2 linked regions of the Arabidopsis thaliana genome follow. Each later gene encodes a partner of the first gene's protein in a complex. Each region holds a gene or a part of one and is shown in the gene's direction. Other genes may lie near its edges.

The links. The genes of interacting proteins can lie anywhere in the genome.
Region 2: RPL4 (region 1) and emb1473 share a complex: the UniProt entries of both Arabidopsis thaliana proteins name them as parts of the 50S ribosomal subunit.

The regions. Positions count from the first base shown.
Region 1 is NC_003070.9:2,244,127-2,254,939, forward strand, and holds RPL4 (ribosomal protein L4), read left to right. Parts: upstream 1-4,840; 5' UTR 4,841-5,063; coding exon 5,064-5,895; coding exon of another isoform or gene 5,896-5,900; exon of another isoform or gene 5,901-6,046; coding exon 6,047-6,063; 3' UTR 6,064-6,403; downstream 6,404-10,813. Other genes in the region: GONST2 (golgi nucleotide sugar transporter 2), read right to left, coding at 1-34, 151-302; AT1G07300 (josephin protein-like protein), read right to left, coding at 1,788-2,167, 2,690-2,879; AT1G07310 (Calcium-dependent lipid-binding (CaLB domain) family protein), read right to left, coding at 3,649-4,707; AT1G07330 (dentin sialophosphoprotein), read left to right, coding at 7,005-8,142, 8,229-8,989, 9,097-9,459; STP2 (sugar transporter 2), read left to right, coding at 10,747-10,813. UniProt on the Arabidopsis thaliana protein: This protein binds directly and specifically to 23S rRNA. May play a role in plastid transcriptional regulation.
Region 2 is NC_003070.9:29,568,962-29,577,405, forward strand, and holds the start of emb1473 (Ribosomal protein L13 family protein), read left to right. Parts: upstream 1-6,844; 5' UTR 6,845-7,035; coding exon 7,036-7,287; intron 7,288-7,595; coding exon 7,596-7,781; intron 7,782-7,981; coding exon 7,982-8,152; intron 8,153-8,328; coding exon 8,329-8,444. Other genes in the region: MSL6 (mechanosensitive channel of small conductance-like 6), read right to left, coding at 265-574, 663-865, 938-1,231, 1,308-1,431, 1,526-3,165; AT1G78620 (integral membrane protein (Protein of unknown function DUF92, transmembrane)), read right to left, coding at 4,901-4,996, 5,278-5,382, 5,496-5,619, 5,767-6,020, 6,348-6,797.

The DNA.
Region 1 (10,813 bases):
AACCGGAAGATATCTCCGTCTCCATCTAAGAAACCTTGAGGAAGAATCAAGAAATTCAAATGCATTATTCCCTCTATAACCACAACAAATCTTTAGAGCTCATAACACTGAATCCGCTCAAGAAAACAAAGTCTAAGCATCTTACATTACCTTTCACTAAACCATCTATGTTCGGAACTCTTCTGATCGAGAAGTTGAAAGACAACTCCGTTTTTAGTTTTACTACCATTATCACTCAAGTGACTCAGCTCTGATTCATCAGGCTCGTGGCAAACAATTGCTTCCAGTTTCACGGCAGACATTTCTTGTTCCAGAATGGCAACAAAGTTCCCTCCTCAATTCGCAGAATCGCAGAAAAGTTCCCTCTTCAATTCACGGAATCGAAGATACGAATGATTGATTGAAGAGTAAGGAAGAGACTTTAACACTTATGAGCTCGAAATAGCTTGAAACACGGCGCGTAAATACGAATCGAGAGAGTACGATCGTCAGTGGGAAATGAGATCCACCGAATTTGAGAAGAGGAAAACCGGCGACGATGAAGGTGATGACCTTTTTAGGTAACACGCAAAGGCGTAAGAGGCGAGGAAGAACGTGGGAGGATCTGAGCGAGATTACCGAGGTAGGAGAGAGAGAGTAACCGTCCATGTTCACAATCTCCAGCCTTCAATTTTACTCTTTTTTATTTTAGGGTTCTTCAAATCTGGGAGCAGATTAATTGTATTTTAAATCAGCTGAGAACGGAATGATGTATGCGACGAAAATATTTTTAGCCTTTTAGGCTTGAGACTGCCGGAATCCATGGCGATTATACTGGCGGGAAGATTGCCGGTGGCTGTGTCGGATGTATTATAAACCTGGGCTTGGGCTTTGATATTACGGGCTTTAGACATTAGAATTAAGCCCATACGTTGTTAAGACATTACGGGCTTTTTAGGCGTACTGATGTTTTTAATTCTTGCAAATTTGTCTTTTGGTCTAAACGACTGATCACACTTAATACTTACTGATCATTTGATCGCACACTTGCCGACAAATTTTCGTCTCAGGCTAAAAATCAGTTTGATTTTCATTTACATATATAGATTTCAGTGGATCAACATTAACAAATGGATTTAGTATTATCTAAACGATTAGTGGAGATTTCAACTTTTAGTAGCCCACTCAAACAAATTGTGAACACGACCAAAAATTTGCTATAATTTTCTATTTTAAAAGATATGATAGAATTGGGTAAAAAGACTACACAAAAGGAAGAAGTTGTTTTAGGCTATCAAACGTTAAAGCTAAACAAATCACACACGCTCACACATAGATTGATTTAGGTGGTCTCCCGTTCACTGAAGGTGCTACTAACTGTTAGGGTAAACAAATCAGTGGCCATGCTTTATTTATGAACTTTCTTGGATAAACTATTTTAAATTTACTTTTTAAACTAAAGCATTTTTACTACATAATTAATAAAATGATAAAATAAGTCACACACGAACATTTTAATTATAGGAACATCTCAGAAAAATATGTATTATAGAAAGAGGAAATTCGTTTATTGATAAAACAGAAGTGGCTTATCCTTGTAACTAATCATGAACAAATACGAATATCAAAATCTAATATTTATAGACAGAAATTGAGAAAGATGGAAGACAGTTACTCGTACTACAACAACAGAAGTCACATAATAGATTTATGTAGACATTATTTACATGCAACTCTCACGAATAAGTAAAATAGACAATACGCGAGCGAGCGAGCGACCGAGACAAAAGGTTTGGGAATGATAACACTTAAGAAGTAGAGTTTGATCTGGTGAAGGAGGATGATGAGTTGATGAACTGTATGCAGTCTTCTATGGCCTCTGATCGATGACTGTCATTGTTTATTGGGATGATTGGTGGCTGAGACCTCCCAGAAAAAGAAGAAACCTTCGACGGTGGAGATCTTTTCTTCTTCCTCATCACCACCAGACGCAAACCTTTTGCAAATTTGCATCCAAGATGCTTGATCAATTTTGCTGCTGTCACTTCTGTTTTCCTCGGTAACCTTAATCCGCAGCTTGTTGTGCATCCCGGACTCTTACCATAAGGTCCCTTGATAGCTGTTTGCTTAGCCGAAGCATCTCTCTGAACCGGTCTAGTGTTGAGGTTGGACCGTTTTATACCAGTAGCTGACATATCAAGAGAAAGATAGAGAGAGTGAGAGAAGTTTATGGGAAACAATATGAGGATAATGAGAGATATTTAACGGACTGGTGCTGAGAACAGTTGTGCTGATAGTTCAGGCAAATACGGGAAAAGACATGAAATGATTAATGATGTATATTATCTATAACATCATTACGCTTAGGCCATGATTAAGCACTCAAGACATAAACAAATAAACAACTAACAAAAAAGTGTAACTTCAATCTTATTTTAGACCCTATATATAAAAAGACTTGTAGTTAAAGTGGATCTACAAATTTATAAAGAGAACTATGCCCAAGAGCAAAAAGAGAAGACTAGGTTTAGTTTTTTCTATTTTTCTTTACGGTCCACAGAGGGAATAAACCCTTTGTTTAAGTGAAGAAAAAGGTTAAGCAACCATTTGGTATCATTCTTCTTTGATGATCACTCATGTGTGCACATAAGTTACATAACAATCTAAAAAAGTTTCTTTTTGACTCCAGGAGAGGCCAATATAATCTTACCTTTATGGATGCAGATTCCTTTCATGAGTCTGCGGCTACAATAAAAAGGAGGGATCAAGGAAAGAACAAAAAAACAAGTTAATGGTGGGTACAAGAATATGAGAAAGCATATAATAAACCAGGGAGTGTCAGGACATAAATAGAAGATCACACAATCTGGAGAATAGAGTGATTTTACATGTGAAAACATTCCATTGAGAACAGAACAATAATACCTGCATGATTGTCAGTGATTAGATGCAAATAGCATGAGATTGACTGATATGTATAGCAGGTTACCAAAATGCCAAAAGGGAAAAGAATGCAATAGCAAAACTGCTCTGTCTCATCGTTATAACAAGAGCACAATAGACTTAGCACCAACCGTGTACATACCATTTTACCCAAAACGATCAGAGAGAACATCTTTTCTGCACTGTGATGAGCATGATTCAAGACACATTAATCCAAACGCTCAATGAATATGGAGATCACTGGTTCCAAACGAAAATCACACATTGGTATCATCAAACATGAAATAAGAACCAAAGTCTTTAACCAGCCTGCAAAAATATTCGGCAGAATCGCAGGATATAGGACTGTTCATGTCTGAGACAGAGCATACTACCATACCTAATCAGAGCATGGTTCAAACAATAAATCAACAGTAAAGTGATTCACATTAGAACATTAACCCTAAGAACCCAATAGCTTGATTCAAGAAACTGAATGAAGGAAAGAAATGAGAGATGTTTTAGAAACATGTACAAAGGTACAGAAGGGGTAACACCGAATATCAGCTAGAAAGAAGCAACAAATCAATTCACAAACGAGACATACATATAGACATAACATATACTTCACCAAATTCATATTTTGTCATCAGCCATTTCCTGGTGTTCTAACACCAACAAATCTGATGATAAGTAAAGCCTTAGAAACGCCGCACACTTGTGAAATTCAACAACTTTTTGCCATCCTCAACATTCACGGCGATAATCACGGCCATAGCTGTAGTTTGGCCTAGCTCCGAAATCACTCTCAGACCTCTCTGCAGCAGCTCTCTCTTCCTCTAAGCTCAATCCACCCATCGTCTTCTGCAACTGCCTGTGATCATAAGGAGAGTAATCGACTGGTGCCGATGGACCATTAGGCACTCCGTAGCTAGACAATCGCGAGCCCATAGGTGGAGCTTGTGGCTTGTACTCGGTAACCAGAAAGGCATCAACGGGTGCTGAGGGCCCACTAGGCGGTGGACCGTAGTTAGAAAACCGAGGAGGAGCTAAAGGAGGCTGCTTGTGATCAATCGATGAGAAGGCATCAACGGGAGCAGATGGGCCACTTGGGAGGCCGTAATTGGAGGCACGATCGTACATTGAACGTGGTGGAGGAGGCGGATAATAATACCCGGAATAGTAGTGATCAGTGAATGCGTAAGGAGACGGAGACGGTGACTGTGAGAATTCTCTGTAGTCACGCTGAGGAGATGGAGCGGTGATCGGTGCTTGAGGAGGAGGAGGAGGAGGAGGGCTAGGGGAGTAATAATGGTTTCCTTGAGGGGCAGAATAGTAATCTAGTGGTTGAGATTGAGGACGTGGCGGAGGATGCTGCGGTGGAGGGATTGGTCTGTCTTTGATCGCGAGCTTCAAACGAATCTTCCCCTGTGGTCGACCCGATGGACGAACCAGCTCGAGCGAGTTGATCAATTCCGGAATCATTGACCCGTCCGAGTCAATCAAACGAGCTAGAGGAAACCTAACCGATCCGACGAGGGTTTTCGCCAGATCCGAAGAATTGGAATGAAAAACCTCGATGTTGAGGACCGATTCGTGGACAGATCGGGTGAGAGGAAGAGTAATCCGCTCGTTCCACACCGGTTTGATGGAGGAGGAATCATCGGAGCGGGTGGAGAGAGGGTGGTCTTGGTCAAGATACAGAACAACGTAGGGTTTCAGGTCACCGTTACGCCAGTTGACATTCTTCAGGTGCTTGGCAGAGACGACGGTGACAACCAGGTCGAGTGGCTCCGACGAAGTCATGAATACGGTGCGTTTCAAGACGAGACGGTGGCTTACGCGGTGGTCTTAGCTAACGTGCGCTCGTATCTCAAATATCTGTATCAAAGTCTCAGCTATCATCAACTATCATCGTTTTATCACAGAGTTTTATGTCTCAAAAAACCTGCTGGCTATATAAGAGGCTTTTGACTTTTGGAGTTTGACTCTTTCTTACTAGCGACAGCTGGAGTTATTCATGAACAGGATAGTTATATCCTTATGTCCAAACAGATGCATAAATTCTCACCAAGCACAAGATAGGCATTTGAAGAGTGGATAACACTTTCTCAGTCTTTCTTCTTCTTCTTCGTTGTGATAGGTCAGGTCAGGGAACAACAATGGCTTCTTCTGCAACAGCACCAAATTCGCTATCTTTCTTCTCATCTTCTCTCTTTTTATCCTCCTCTCACCAAATCCCTAAAACCTACATTTCCGTTTCAAAACTCGGCTCCGGCAGAGTCTCGAAGCCGCTTTCTGTCTCTTCCCAGCTAGCGACTCTACCGATTCTATCATTCGAAGGAGAGAAGGTCGGAGAGACGTATCTAGACCTCAAAGCGGCGCCGGAGGATACCGCGCGTGCCGTTGTGCACCGAGCCATCGTGACGGACCTGAATAACAAGCGGCGAGGTACTGCTTCCACACTGACTCGCGGTGAAGTTCGTGGTGGTGGAATTAAACCTTACTCACAGAAGAAAACTGGCCACGCGAGGCGTGGATCTCAGAGAACACCGTTACGTCCCGGTGGAGGTGTGGTGTTTGGGCCAAGACCTAAGGATTGGTCAATTAAAATCAATAGGAAGGAGAAGAAGCTAGCGATATCTACGGCGTTATCGAGTGCGGCATCTGCGGAAGGTGGTGCGATAGTGGTGGAGGAATTTGGGGAGAAGTTTGAGAAGCCCAAGACTAAAGATTTCTTAGCTGCGATGCAAAGGTGGGGATTGGATCCCAAGGAGAAAGCTATGTTCTTGATGATTGATGTGGATGAGAATGTGGCGAAATCGAGTAGGAACATTGGAACCTTGAGGATGTTGACGCCTAGGACACTGAATCTGTTTGATATTTTGAACGCTGATAAGCTTGTTCTGACTCCTGCGGCTGTGGAGTTCTTGAATGCGAGGTACGGTGTTGATGCGGTGGAGGAAGAAGATGACGATGAAGATGAGACGGAAGGTTAGTGTTTTCTTGAAAGGAACTGGCTTGTTGTCGAAATTTGATGTTTTGAATGTTGTGTTTGATCGTTTTTGTCTGGTTTTAATTTCTTGAAGAGGTAGAAATATGATGTGTTAATATGGAAAAGTAATTATTTGTTTGTGTTATGAAGGGTCAGAGGAAGCTTAAGAATGAGTAGCACCCGTAGTTCCAATTGCTTCAAGTGTGGCTTAATTATGAGTTTAATCTTGAGTACATCTTCTCACTCTCCTTGATGAGGTCTTCTCTTTCCTTTTTGTGTCACAACAAGAGAAATGTGTATTTACTTTTAGAGTTTTTCTTAAGAGATCATCCTCAATTTCTTGTCATACTGATTTTGTGTCCAACTCTCAATGAAGGAGTAAGGAGTGAAATTAGATATCATGAGTAACGTTGATTGTGTGTGTATCAGTTAAGATTGAGCAACAAAGATTGACTTTAGTCATCAAGTTAACAAGAAAGAGTGGCTATTATAAGCTTTAAGCGTTGATGTTCATCTTGGTTTTGAAAATCATGAATAGTCTCACACAAATCTGTTAACAACTTGCTAAAAAAAAGGATTAGCTAGAAAACTTAGGAAGTGTCAATAGTGTATGTTATTTACAGACATTTGATGGGTCTTGGTGGGCTTAAGAAGATAGCCCAATCTTTTGAAGAAAGAGATATGAGATGCAAAATCCATGAACTTTAAGGGTCAATTTCTGAACCAGTAAAAAATGTGGTTAAAAGTGTAAGAAAACAAGAATCTTTGGAAACATGTGTAAGAAAGCAACTAATTTAACTCCCGCCCTCTCTTACCAGTTTTCTATTTTGTCTTCTCCGTCCTTACCGTGTGTTCTGAAAACTGAAAAAGAACCAAAACGAAAATCTAAAAAAACCCTTGAAAAATCTATTTTTTATTGACTGGTTATTGTTTCAAATGAAAGCTTGACCTCTCTCTTATTGATCAATTTTCGCTTCTTCAATTAAACCATATTTGTTTTTCCCTTTCAAGCATTTTGATTCTCTAGGACAAAACACAAACCGCCATAGACAGAATGCTTTGGGTTATTATCTCTCAAAGTGTTCTGAGAATTTGAACTGTTTAAAACATGGGAATCGATGCCAAAGATGTCGGAACTCTGTTCTGGAAAATTCTCAGATTTTCCACGAACATCGTTTATAGAAACGTAAGGAATCACCCAGTTGTTTCTGGTGTTTCTGCAATTATCTTCCTCCTATACATTTTTCTTCCACGCCTTTTTTATTTCGTCCTTTACTCTTCTCCGTTAATCGCATGCTCTGTGTTTTATCTTCGGAATCATCCAAGTTTTAAGCTTTTGCATATCAAAACGGATAATTGGTTTTCACCATTTTCCCAAAAGAGATCTGAGGAGGAAGAAACAAGGAAGGCTGACTTAAAGCACCAACGAAGTGTTCGACGAAACGCTAGAAGGAAAGTTGAAGAGGTTGGGAAAGATTGGGACTCTTCTCAGGCTAGTGAAGATGAGAGAGACAGAGTCATTTTAACAACTCTCTATGGTGAAATTCCCAATACTGCAAAATCTCCCAAACTTCAGAAATTCAAGAAAGATGGAGCCTTTCTTGTGTCTGAAGGTTTCTCCTTTGAGCCTAGCTTAGATGAAGAAACTCTTTCAACCACCGGGAATGTTTCCGTTGTGGATCCATCGGAGAGGTTGACTAGTGGTGGTGGCGAAACCGAGATCGAGTGTTCATCGTCATCAGAAGGCGAAGAAGAAGAAGAAACTACACGTGAAGACAAAAAGATTGTAGCTTGGACAGAGGATGATCAAAAGAATTTGATGGATTTAGGAAACTCTGAGATGGAACGTAACAAGAGGTTAGAGCATTTGATTACTAGAAGAAGAATGAGGAGATTAGTCCGACTTGCCGCTGAGAGTAGCTTAATGGATATGGAAGTTCCTCCAGTCTGTGTTGGACGGAACTATTTCGGTTTGGATCAAGAAAACTATATAGTTGATGGTCTTCAAATGCCTGAATCTGCACCTTCTGTGTTATTACCAACTAAAAACCCTTTTGATATTCCTTATGATCCACAAGAAGAGAAGCCTAACCTCTCAGGAGATAGTTTTCAGCAAGAGTTTGCAGCCAACCCTAATGATATCTTCTTCTGCCGCCATGAAAGCTTTTGTCGCAGAGTCTTTCCATTGGACAATCAGCTTGACACGAAATGGGAACCGTGGAAAAAGAAGTCAATACCACAACAAGGTACATCCTCTTGTCATTCTGAAAAATGTTGTAGCTTACAAAGTAAATGATTCTAAGTTCTACAATTCTGATCCTTGCTCATGTAGGTAGCAATGATGGATTGGTTGGGGAGAAACATCCTGTAATGAAAGGAAAAGATCTAACAAGAGGAGAAGTAAATGATATGGAGTCAGAACACATGACAGAGATTGTTGTTAGTGATTCAAACTCATTGCTTTCTCCTGAAGACAGGGAAATGAATTCTGATGTCTCAAATCAAGCATATTTTTCTGGAACTTCTGGGAAAGGAAATGGTGATCTTCGTGTTGAAAACCCTTTAGTTGGTTTAGTTCCTAGAAACACTGGTTCGCTTTCGAGTTCTTTAGCAGCGGAAAGGCAAAGATACGTGGAGCATTTTGGTTATAGCTCAAAAAAAGGTCATAAGTTATCTGTAGAATCTGATCTTCAAGTTGAGGTTTCTGAAATTGGATCACCTCCCACTACAGTTGATGGGAATAATTCTTCTGATGAAGAAAAATCACGTATTGTCAACGAATCAGACATTGGGAAGGAGACGGGATTTAGTGGTGAGGAGAGCATTGTGGATAGAACTGAAGAAACTCAAATGTTACCAGTGGAGAAAGTTGATAAAGATTTAAATGAAACGATTTCTAAGGTCTCTCCAGAAACTTATGTAGCCAAACAAGTTGAGGGTCTGTCTGATGGTACTGATATCAACGGAAGATCTGAGGAAGAAGAGAGCTCAAAATCCGGACGCTTTCCACTGGAAAATTCAGACAAAGGATTCTATATACATGAAGAGTCAACAGTTCCTCACATCAATGAAGTTATTTCGAGAAGAGAAGAGGTTATATAGTTCTTGTTCTTGTCAGGTTTTATGGAAATATGATTGCTACTTGCAATGTGTTTCTCAAAATGTTGAATTTGAATATATTCCTTGTACCGTTATGACAGGAACGTGTCCAAAACTTGACTGATGAGATGAAGATAAATGATGACTCTGATGAACCTGAAGCCTTTGAAAGAAGAACAAATCAAGAACCCCAAGAACATTTTGGGGGAAATGATGGAGACCAATCAACTCAAGAGTTGCAAGAACTTGTGGAACCTGAAGTTTCAAATGTGAACAATGTCACATCAGACGAGTCTGCTACTTCCCCAAGATCAGTGTTACCAGACATGTTGTTATCTTTAGACCAGACTTATACTCTGACTTCTGAGAGTTTGGAACATACATTAGATAGTCAACCTCCGCCAGTGATTCCATATCCGGAATCTCCACAGAATCAATCAGGTGTTGATGGGAACAGTAGATGAAGTGTGCTCAGAGATCAGTTTCAATGACAGTACTTGAACTGAAATGTACCTTTAACAAAATGATGACGTGTGTTTTCTAAAACAAGGATAGTCTGAGGCAAGTGAGAAGCTAGAGAAGAAGTTTCTTCTTTAGATGCCATTGTCCTTTTGTTGAACACTCAACAAATTCAGGCTTATGCAGTGTAGAGGATTTAGGTTCCCTAGCTAAATTTTATGTATATGCTAAAGTTGAACATTAATGTGTGGAATTTGATTTAGTGAAGTGATCATCATTTTGTTTGATGATAACTGAGATATAATTTATGTTGTCTTTTAAAAAGTTTAATGTATTATAGTATGGGAAATCTGATAATGATTGGTTATTTCTAAATTTTAGTAAATTACTTTCTCTTTTAGTTTAAAATAAATAAAGGATCGTTGATTATCAACAAGATAAAATTTTTTACAACAACAACAACTCTTCTCCTGATTATGAAGCTCTAAATATTTTTTAATATTAATGACCAATTAATTTTACCTTTTAATATAAGTGGTCACCTTTTTTTTTTAAAACCGTATATCAACTTATCTGCGTTTTTCTCGTATTCTCTCATGGGATTAATATTTGCTTTTAAATGTGGATAAATGATGTCCAAAAAAACATTTGGATAAAATTTTATCCATGCTGAAAAATGTATAACAAGAATTTTTTTTTTTTTTTTAATAACAAATACTTATAATTCTTACGATTATATAGGTGTAGATTATTATTCTTTTTCATGCAATGACCATGCGGATAATTTTGTCTAAATTTTATCCAAAACTTTTTTCACACTCATTTCTTATAGGAAAAATATTCTACCCAGACTTGCTTGTGTAATTATATGAATGTTAAAAATATTACATAATCAAAAGCCAAGCTCTGAGATCATATATGTCGTATAAAAAATTATTATTGTGTCGATCAAACGTCATTATCTTTTACTTAAAAAAAAAAGAGTTTTTATTTCTTAATCTCGATATTGATCTAAACGATTTAATTGTTTATTTATTTAAATGATAATATCTTAATATCAAAACACATATATCTTATCAGTAATTATCCACATTTATTCTCAGATAAAACAGGATCGAGTCAGAAGAAAAATTCGTTCAAAAAGATTCAGTTGTTAAATCTTAGTTTATCCAAAACCCTCACACTCATCTATAAAAGAAACCCCATCTCCTCTCTTAGGCATTTGAGTTTTATTTACGATCCTCAATACCACATAGTCAGAAATATTAAAAGAAGCTAAGAGATCAACAACAATGGCTGTTGGTTCGATGAATGTCGAAGAAGGCACTAAAGCTTTTCCTGCGAAGCTGACAGGTCAAG
Region 2 (8,444 bases), about 27 Mb from region 1:
TAAACCGGGAAAAAGAAAAGAGAAATACCGTTAAGTTTGGACTAACCGAAATTAGAAGCAGTATTCATAAACCAAAAATCCAAAAGGCAAAAACACTATGAGACCACTATGCAGATTGAGAGAGCCAAAATTTATACATCACATTAAAGTAGAGTAATCATCAAGTATCCAATCCTAATTCTAAATTTGTAGAGCTCATAAAAGAAAAATGAGAAAACAGAACCTCTTGATCCAAACTATATAAAAAGTTTTATCTATAGTTTCTCAGTTGCTGCCAGAAGCTGGAGCACTCCAGTTTGGTGGAAGACGGTCGGAAACAGGCAAAGCCGTAGAAGTGGGCAAGTTTCGGACATTGATATCAAGAGGATACAATCTATACTCAATGTCAAGCTCTCTGCAAATTTTGGCAATCTCTTCAACAAGTTGAGACCTTCGAGCCCATTTCTCTCCCATATCTTGATGATTCATTCGATGTGTTGGCCAAACCGCAATTCTCACGCTGTTTAATGACTCCATGTCTTTGAATACTATCATTGGCGCTGGATACCAATGATCCTTCTTGCCCTCAATGTAACTATCACAACAACGAATGCAGGTAATGAAATACAAGAATTTTCAGGTATTAAAATTTGTGAAACTGTGATTCCAAATTTGCAATGTACCTTGTGATTCTCTGTTTGATGAGTATGATTTTCTCAGCTGGAGTAGTAATGTGGATGGAGAATTCGATACCATCTCCCATATCAGGACTACGGTAATAATTTCCGATGGATTTAGTCCAGAGAAGACTGTTCGGGTACACGACTTTCTGGTTATCAAATCTCAAGAAAACTGTTGTCAATATGTTCATCTCTTCCACAACCATCTGAAACAAGAAGTTTTTTAAACATTAGAATTGAAAAATGAGAACTATTAGTTACTAGTTTTTTGAAGTTACCTGGACTCCATCAATTTCACATCGATCGCCTACATCAAACGGATGTATCACAAACAAGTAGATGATAGATTCAAATACTATCTTGCACATGTTTCCAAATATGAATGCTACAACCACGACTTGCGAGCTCATGACGACGAGGAATTTGGTGGAAGTGATTCCAAGTATGATAAGCCAGATAACAAGTATGATGATCCCAACCACGATATTCACCATCTTGTGAAGCCTGTTTACTGCTGTTTTGGTGTCGTTTAGGGTCAATGCAAGAGCTCTTCTCTCTCTAAAAGCATTCACCTGTGAAAAGGTTGTTGCACATTTTCATTAATATCTGAATTCATTAAAGAGTGTAAATTCATTCCAAATTTCTTACCACCCAGTTTTTAAGAGATGACTTGCTGATCCTGTTCGTCTCAGATGCTCCTTCAAAGAGACTTAAAGTCTTCAAAGCTTCGTCATCTGGCAGAAACCGCATTATGTCGTTTGCATAGATGAACCTAAATGAGAAAATAAGCAATTGCTACTGGTTAGTATCTATAATGCAATACTATTGTAAAGCCTTTGTATAAAGAAAAAAGTGATTTTCTTTACTTTGATCCTGGCTTAGCAACATTATGAAAGATCTTTCTTGCAGCGAGCTTTGCCTCAAACTCACTTCTAATTTGGTTTCCTTTATCATCATCCAAGCTTGGATCCTGAAGCTGTTCATCCAAAGTGGTAAGTGATCCATTCCGGATTATATTCATCAGCCTCTTCATTTTCCATGCGGAAACATTCTTAGGATTCAGCTTATGAAGGCTATCGATCGTAATCCCTTTGTTTTCTCCTCCTCCCCCTCCTCCATTAGATAGAACATGAGAGAGAAACGGGCTTTTCCCGGTCTTCATTGGACTTTTCTGAGCTCCTGACTGAATCTCAACACCCCCTGGATTTTGAAACTTCTTAACCTCAACACTGATTCTCTCTTCCTCTTCCTCATTTTTTTGGATCTCAATCAAAGGAGGACCCGAGAGCGTCTCAATCACATACTGAGTAAACAAAGACTCTTGAATCCTATCGAAGTAAGTGCTCATATGAAACGATGAAGCAAGAACTTTGACCAACAGTGTCTTCACGAGCCACAACAAGAACCCAACCAACAAACACACAAAGATCTTAGTCACAACACGAAGCGCCTTAGTGTTTGCTGCTTTAGCCACTTTCTCATCAAACAAGAAATGCCAAGCCAGTAAAACAAGTCCTAACCATAAGCAATTCTGCACCGCTTTTCGGACACCATAAACGAAATACAAAACTCTTTTCCTCAAAAGAAAGTTCCTTTCGATAAAGAAGACAACAATCTTCACAATCCAGCTCGAGACTAACCTACCACAGATCAACACTAAAACCATTGACTCCCATTTCCATAGCTGAAGTTCCCAGAGTTTCTTCTTACGCAAGGAAGGTATCGCAAGAGTGCAAACAAACCCAGCTATAATCAAAATCAAACTCAACCATTCCAACACAATCCATAGACTAAGTTTATCTTTCCTATACTCTTCTGGTAAATCCTCTGCTGCAAATGGATCATCTTCTTCTTCCTCACCTTGAGTCTTAGGGCTTTTTCCAAAAAAACCTGATTTCATCTGCCCGGATTTCGGAATCCGACCCGACTTCATATCCGCCGTTTGCGGCGGCAACTGAGGCGTTGGCGGATCCGAAAGACGTGACCTAGTTCTCATCTTAAGTAAAGTGCTAGAGCTTCTCTGAATCGGAGCATTATTACCACTACACTTGACAACTTCTCCATCATCGTTATTGTTGGTATTACTGCGACTGTCTCGTCTTCCCACGGGGTCACGTTTTGTAGAAACTCTCGGAGATTCCGATACCGGAGTTAAACCTCTAGATTGAAGCTCGTCCATACCTAAGTCCATATCTAAACAAATCTCACCGGAAGCTTGCTGTTTATGGAGAAACTGACCAATCAGCTTCGTGGGAGGATCTTCGCCGCGACGAAACTCAAAACCCTCATCTTTTTGTTGCTCCCCCGTCGTGGCGGCGGATCTATCAGAATCAACCGCCGCAGCATTATGACCTTTGTTGAGGTTACCTTCACCATCAGTCCAAAAATCGTAGCTTCCGTCTCTCCATATCTTTCCTACAGTCTCTCCGGAGACTCCATTGTTGTTTCCGTTTTCACCGTCGATTTTGACGATAACTTCTCGCCGGTCAGCCGCATCAACGGCCATTACTCAAACAATCCAGCGAAATCTAGGTTTAGCGTACACACCAACGATTAGAGAAGGAAAGCAAAAAAAAGAAAGATTTAATCACACTTTTGGGTAACTGTGAAAGCAAGAAGAAGAGAAAACGCTTTTATTTGATCAGAGCTGGTGATGACTCTTTGTGAGAAAAGAGAGGGTAAGTAATAAGGAAATAAAATTATCTAATTAAAGTATGACGCGTGTAAGCCAATCGCTACCACACAGCTACAACATCATCACTTTGAAATTTGGACGACACACAGAGATCCTCTTCTCCCTCTCTCTCTCTGTGTCTTAATATTATTATTTTTTCAATACCAAACTTTGGCAAAGTTCGAGAAGAAGATGGGAACTTACTCACGGCGAACCATTTAGGTTTTTATTATTTCGTCAAACTTTGGCAAACTAATATTTGTTTAGTATACATTTTGTTTTAAGGATATCGTTTTACATATTTTGTTTGATTCTACGCTAGCATATAGTATTTCAAAAAAAAATCAAATTATTCCATTTTTGGTATTGTTTATTAGGTTAGGTTTGTGCCTTTGTGGGGAAGGGACATTCGTCACATGTATGAAGGACTCACGCAAAACGATGAATATTGTATTTAATGGCTTAGTTAGATGTTGTCGTAATTAATAATAGGTTATTAATTTTTAAAGTAGTTCTTTTAGAACTTAATAAAGAATTAAGCATATTTTAGAACTAGATCAGTTCCAGAAATAAGAAAGTTACAAACTTACTACTATTATCGAGACAGTAGTAAACCCATGTTAGAGAATTTAACCAAAAAAGTGAAAAAACATTGAAAAAAAGTAAGAAAAAGGGCAAGCAAGAGTCTTCTTCAGGCGCGCCGTGGCGGACATTTGACTTTAAGAAAGAAAAAGCGAGATTTGCGCTGCGGCGGTGTAAAAATCAGTCGTAAAATACACGCGTTTGAGGAGCGCGTGTGAATTTTGACACTTGTCAGCTGTGTGTTAGACAGATGTTGCGGCCCATGGGCCATTGTCGTATCTTATTGCGGACCACAGGTTCGTAGAAGCAACGCATTGTATAATTTTTCTTCATGTTTCATAAGTCTAAAAGTAAACAAGCCTGTTAAGTCTCGCTGTCTTGTTTAACAGCTAGGCCGATGGATGCATTTTTCTCTAGAGGCTTCTAAATTAAAATTGGCCACCAGAAACACTATCTTATGCAACGTCGAGAATATTGCTAAAGATGACAGGAACAAGACATAATAATGACAAAAAAGAAGAATGTATTCGAGAAAATCACGACTCTTCGACGACTTCTTTCTCAACCAATTCTTGGTACTTTGTTGTTGCCTTTTCTTCAAACTTTTTTCTTACATTTTCATCACTACTTTCTCTATTTGCTACATAACTTTTTTTACATGTTCTTCAATTTATGATGTCGCAATAGAATTTGGACTTCATGTGAAGGAAATAGAAGAAATCACGTGAATGGATCCCTAAGCAGAAGAAATTTTATAAGTTTCTCTATCTACGGGACAATTGCAAAGGCAAACTTAATTCACATAAATATCATCCAATAATTGCTAGACAATGGTCCCAGAAGTTTTTTCCCCTCATTGATGTTGGACTACTAGTTGTACACAACAGAGTATAATTTATAACACCACTGAATACGTAAGGCTGTGTTTAACAATATAAAAAAAGAATCTAACCTCACTGAGAATACATGACCTTCGTGGCAGGTTTTACTTGACCCAGTTCTGGAGTATAAACTGTTGCATCAAAATCGCCACAATGCTTCCCAAGCTTATGTTGATCACGTTGACTACATCATTGTTTAGCTACACATAGCAAAATAGTGACTAACATGAGACAGAATACAGTCGAGATCATTGCATTCTTGTTTAGTTGGTAACTAATTGCAAGGAATGGATTCATAAGACGAAAACTTCAAAATTCTGTATTGAATGGAAATCGTTTTCCACTCAAGCCAGTTATCTATCAGTCTTTCTGCAAGAAGTGACGGTATATTCATTTGATTATCATCTTCTTGCATTGACAACAAGTAGACAGAGTGAGATCAATAAAACAAAAAGAAGAGAGTTCATTGAAGTGAGCATACCCATTTGAATCCTTCTTTGTCTTGAAAAGAAGCACCTATTATGCTCTCTCCAAGATTGGCAATCTGGGAAGCTAGTACACATACAGCTGCTTCTGGAGGAGTTATCTGTGTTCAAGATATCAAAAGGAAAAGAAGTTTAAAAATCGTGTAATGATAACAGTCTTTAGTAGCATAAAGAAGCTGTGAAGGGAAATTTTGGTAGCAAATAACACTATTACCTGACCCAGGAAGCAGCCAACAGATGCAAGAAAAAATGATGCTAAAAGTCCAGCCAATGTTCCTTCAAGACTCATAGCTCCCTCTGTTCCTCTTGGTACAATCTTAAATGTCGTAGCTAAATACCTGCGAATTGGCAATGGTTAGTAAGATCATTTCAGTTGTCGATTGGATTCATGTCATGACACCACAAGTCCATGCCATACATCAGACAGAAAACAGACACAGACCATAACAGAAGAGGCTATAGCTGGATAACAGTAGCATACTCACGTTGTTTTTCCATAAGCTTTGCCTATCTCGCTCGAGACAGTGTCAGATACTTTAGTGCAGAAACTGGAAACAAAACCAAGCCGGAAAAGCTGGGAAAAAGCTGCTCCTCCCACTTGATATATTGAAAGAAAAGCACAGACACAACCAGCAGCACTTGAACCAATCACACTGCGTGGTCCTCTTCTACCCTTTCTCTTTTCGGCCACACCTTGTGCTTCCTTTTGCGTCATTTTAACCTTCGTTGCCGCTGTTCCCTGTGATATTGTAAATCATCTAAACCAACTTCAGCGCCAGAATCAATTGCAAATTTACTGTTACTATTTCCAGCTCTGGGGTGAAACACGATATTGAAATCTAAAACTTAAAGCATTGCAGAGAAAAGACTAAGTATCTCAATGTTGAGCATGATCAGAAAAAGTAGCTCCTTAATCTGTAAACGTGATTTAGGATCTCTAACACGTCCACAATTCCTAAATTAAACAATAACACATCTAAAATCTAAGGACATTCTTCATTCATCAGCTCGAAATCAAAATCAAAGCAGCGAATTTCTACGTTCTAAGAGTCAGTTACCGAATTACATTCAGGTTGATCACAAATGCACTTACTATGACGAAGTAAGCAGCGACTAAGAGGAAACCAGCAGAGCCATAAGCTCTCCAAGTTAAAGTACCAAGCAAAAACGCGGCGGCGATCCCAGAAGCGGACAATCCGGTAACAAGAAGCGGTGAACCGAGAACAAAAATCAATAAATTGTTAGCCACAGCTGATTTCCAAGTTGGTGACGCCGATTGAATCAGTTTCATCGCCTCCGTCATCACTCCTTCCATCGATGCAGCCGCCGCCGTAGCACCGTCGGCTCTACTTCCCGACGAAAGCATTCCGTTGGAAAGTGGTTCCAGATTACGTCGTCCAAATCTGTAAGATCTAGCGAATGGAGAGGAAGAAGAAAATCCCGAGAATTTTGGGAATCTTAGTGGTAAAGCTGATCTAGAAGAATTTAAGAGTAGAGTTGACGAAATCGTTGCCATGACTTAGCTTGCTTCCGAAGAAGACCTTTCTCTCCTATTGAGAAAAAAAAAACAGTATTTCGGGTTGAATCCGGAGCTCCGAAAAAAACCCGGATCCTTAACCCGTGTTGTGTTTATTTTTCGGTCGTATTCATCAGATTATTTACGGTGTTGCCACTACTACTATTTACTGAGAACCCAATCTTATCCGAGAAATCGGAAAGAGCAGAAGAAATTTGCAGAAGAGAGAAAAACAAAAATGGCGGTTCTTTGCTCGTCTTCGACGGTGATACTCTCTTCTTCTTCCGTGAAATCCTCCGGAAGTGAGAGAAAGTCTCCGTTTTTAGGGTTCTCTTTAACGGCTATCTCGAAGCCGTCGGTACGAGTCGGCATTTATGCGAATTCGAAAAGAGGATTGCAAGTGAAGTGTGAAGCTGAGCCGACGACGACGACTTCTCTTGTTCCGGCGAATCAACGATGGATGTTCGACGAAGAAGAAGCTAATGGCCCTGTAACGATAATTTTTCTATCTCCCTCTGTGTTTAGCATCTACGCATTTATAAAGTGTCGCACTTTAGCTCTTGCTTTGAATTTGAAGTATGGCTTGTTTTTTTCTTCTCCCAATTGCGATTTATTAAGTAGTGGATTTTGCCTTTGACTCATTAGCTGTGTTGTCTGCATCAATTGGCTTCGAAAATTGATGTTTATTCTTCTGAATTTGTTAACTTGGACGTTTTATGAAATTATTAATGTTTGGTTGGAGAGAAGTTAAAAGTCTTTGGCTTGAAACCTTTATTGAGTGTATTCTATGGTTTACAGGACATCTGGAACACGACATGGTATCCAAAAGCTTCAGACCATGTGAACACGGACAAGCCCTGGTTTGTGGTTGATGCAACTGACAAAATTCTTGGTAGATTGGCATCGACAATTGCTAATCACATCCGTGGGAAGAATCTTGCCTCTTACACTCCTAGTGTCGACATGGGAGCTTTTGTGATTGTGGTATGAGTTTCTTTGAGCTATCTGTAGAGAATAAGAAATTTGATGTGCTGCTTTAGTTAATTTCTTCCTGAAGGAGGAGCCTTGGGATTTGGTTTTAGTAAGATTCACATTAGCAGCAAGATGTAGAGCCTCTATGTAGATGTTTGGGCAATGCTTGTAACTTGGTACCTCTAATACTGTTTTCAATTGTTTGGTTAAAGGTGAATGCTGAGAAAGTTGCTGTATCTGGAAAGAAGCGTAACCAAAAGCTGTACAGGAGGCATTCAGGACGACCTGGTGGTATGACAGTAGAGACATTTGATCAATTGCAGCAGAGAATTCCTGAAAGAATCGTTGAGCATGCTGTTCGTGGAATGCTTCCAAAGGGACGGGTTAGATACATAATCCACAGCTCTTTATTAGTCTCCTTTAAGTCTTAACACTTAGCAAATCCGTGTTTCTTCAAACTTATGGATTGAACTTGGAAACTACTTGTTGCGATATTGGTATTGATTGATTACTAGTTTTCCAACTCCCTCTTAACTTTGGTCTGACCATTTTGTGGCAGCTTGGGAGAGCTCTGTTCAATCACCTGAAGGTGTACAAAGGCCCTGACCATCCTCACGAGGCCCAGAAACCGCTTGATCTGCCTATCAGGGACAAGAGAATACAGCTGCAAAAATA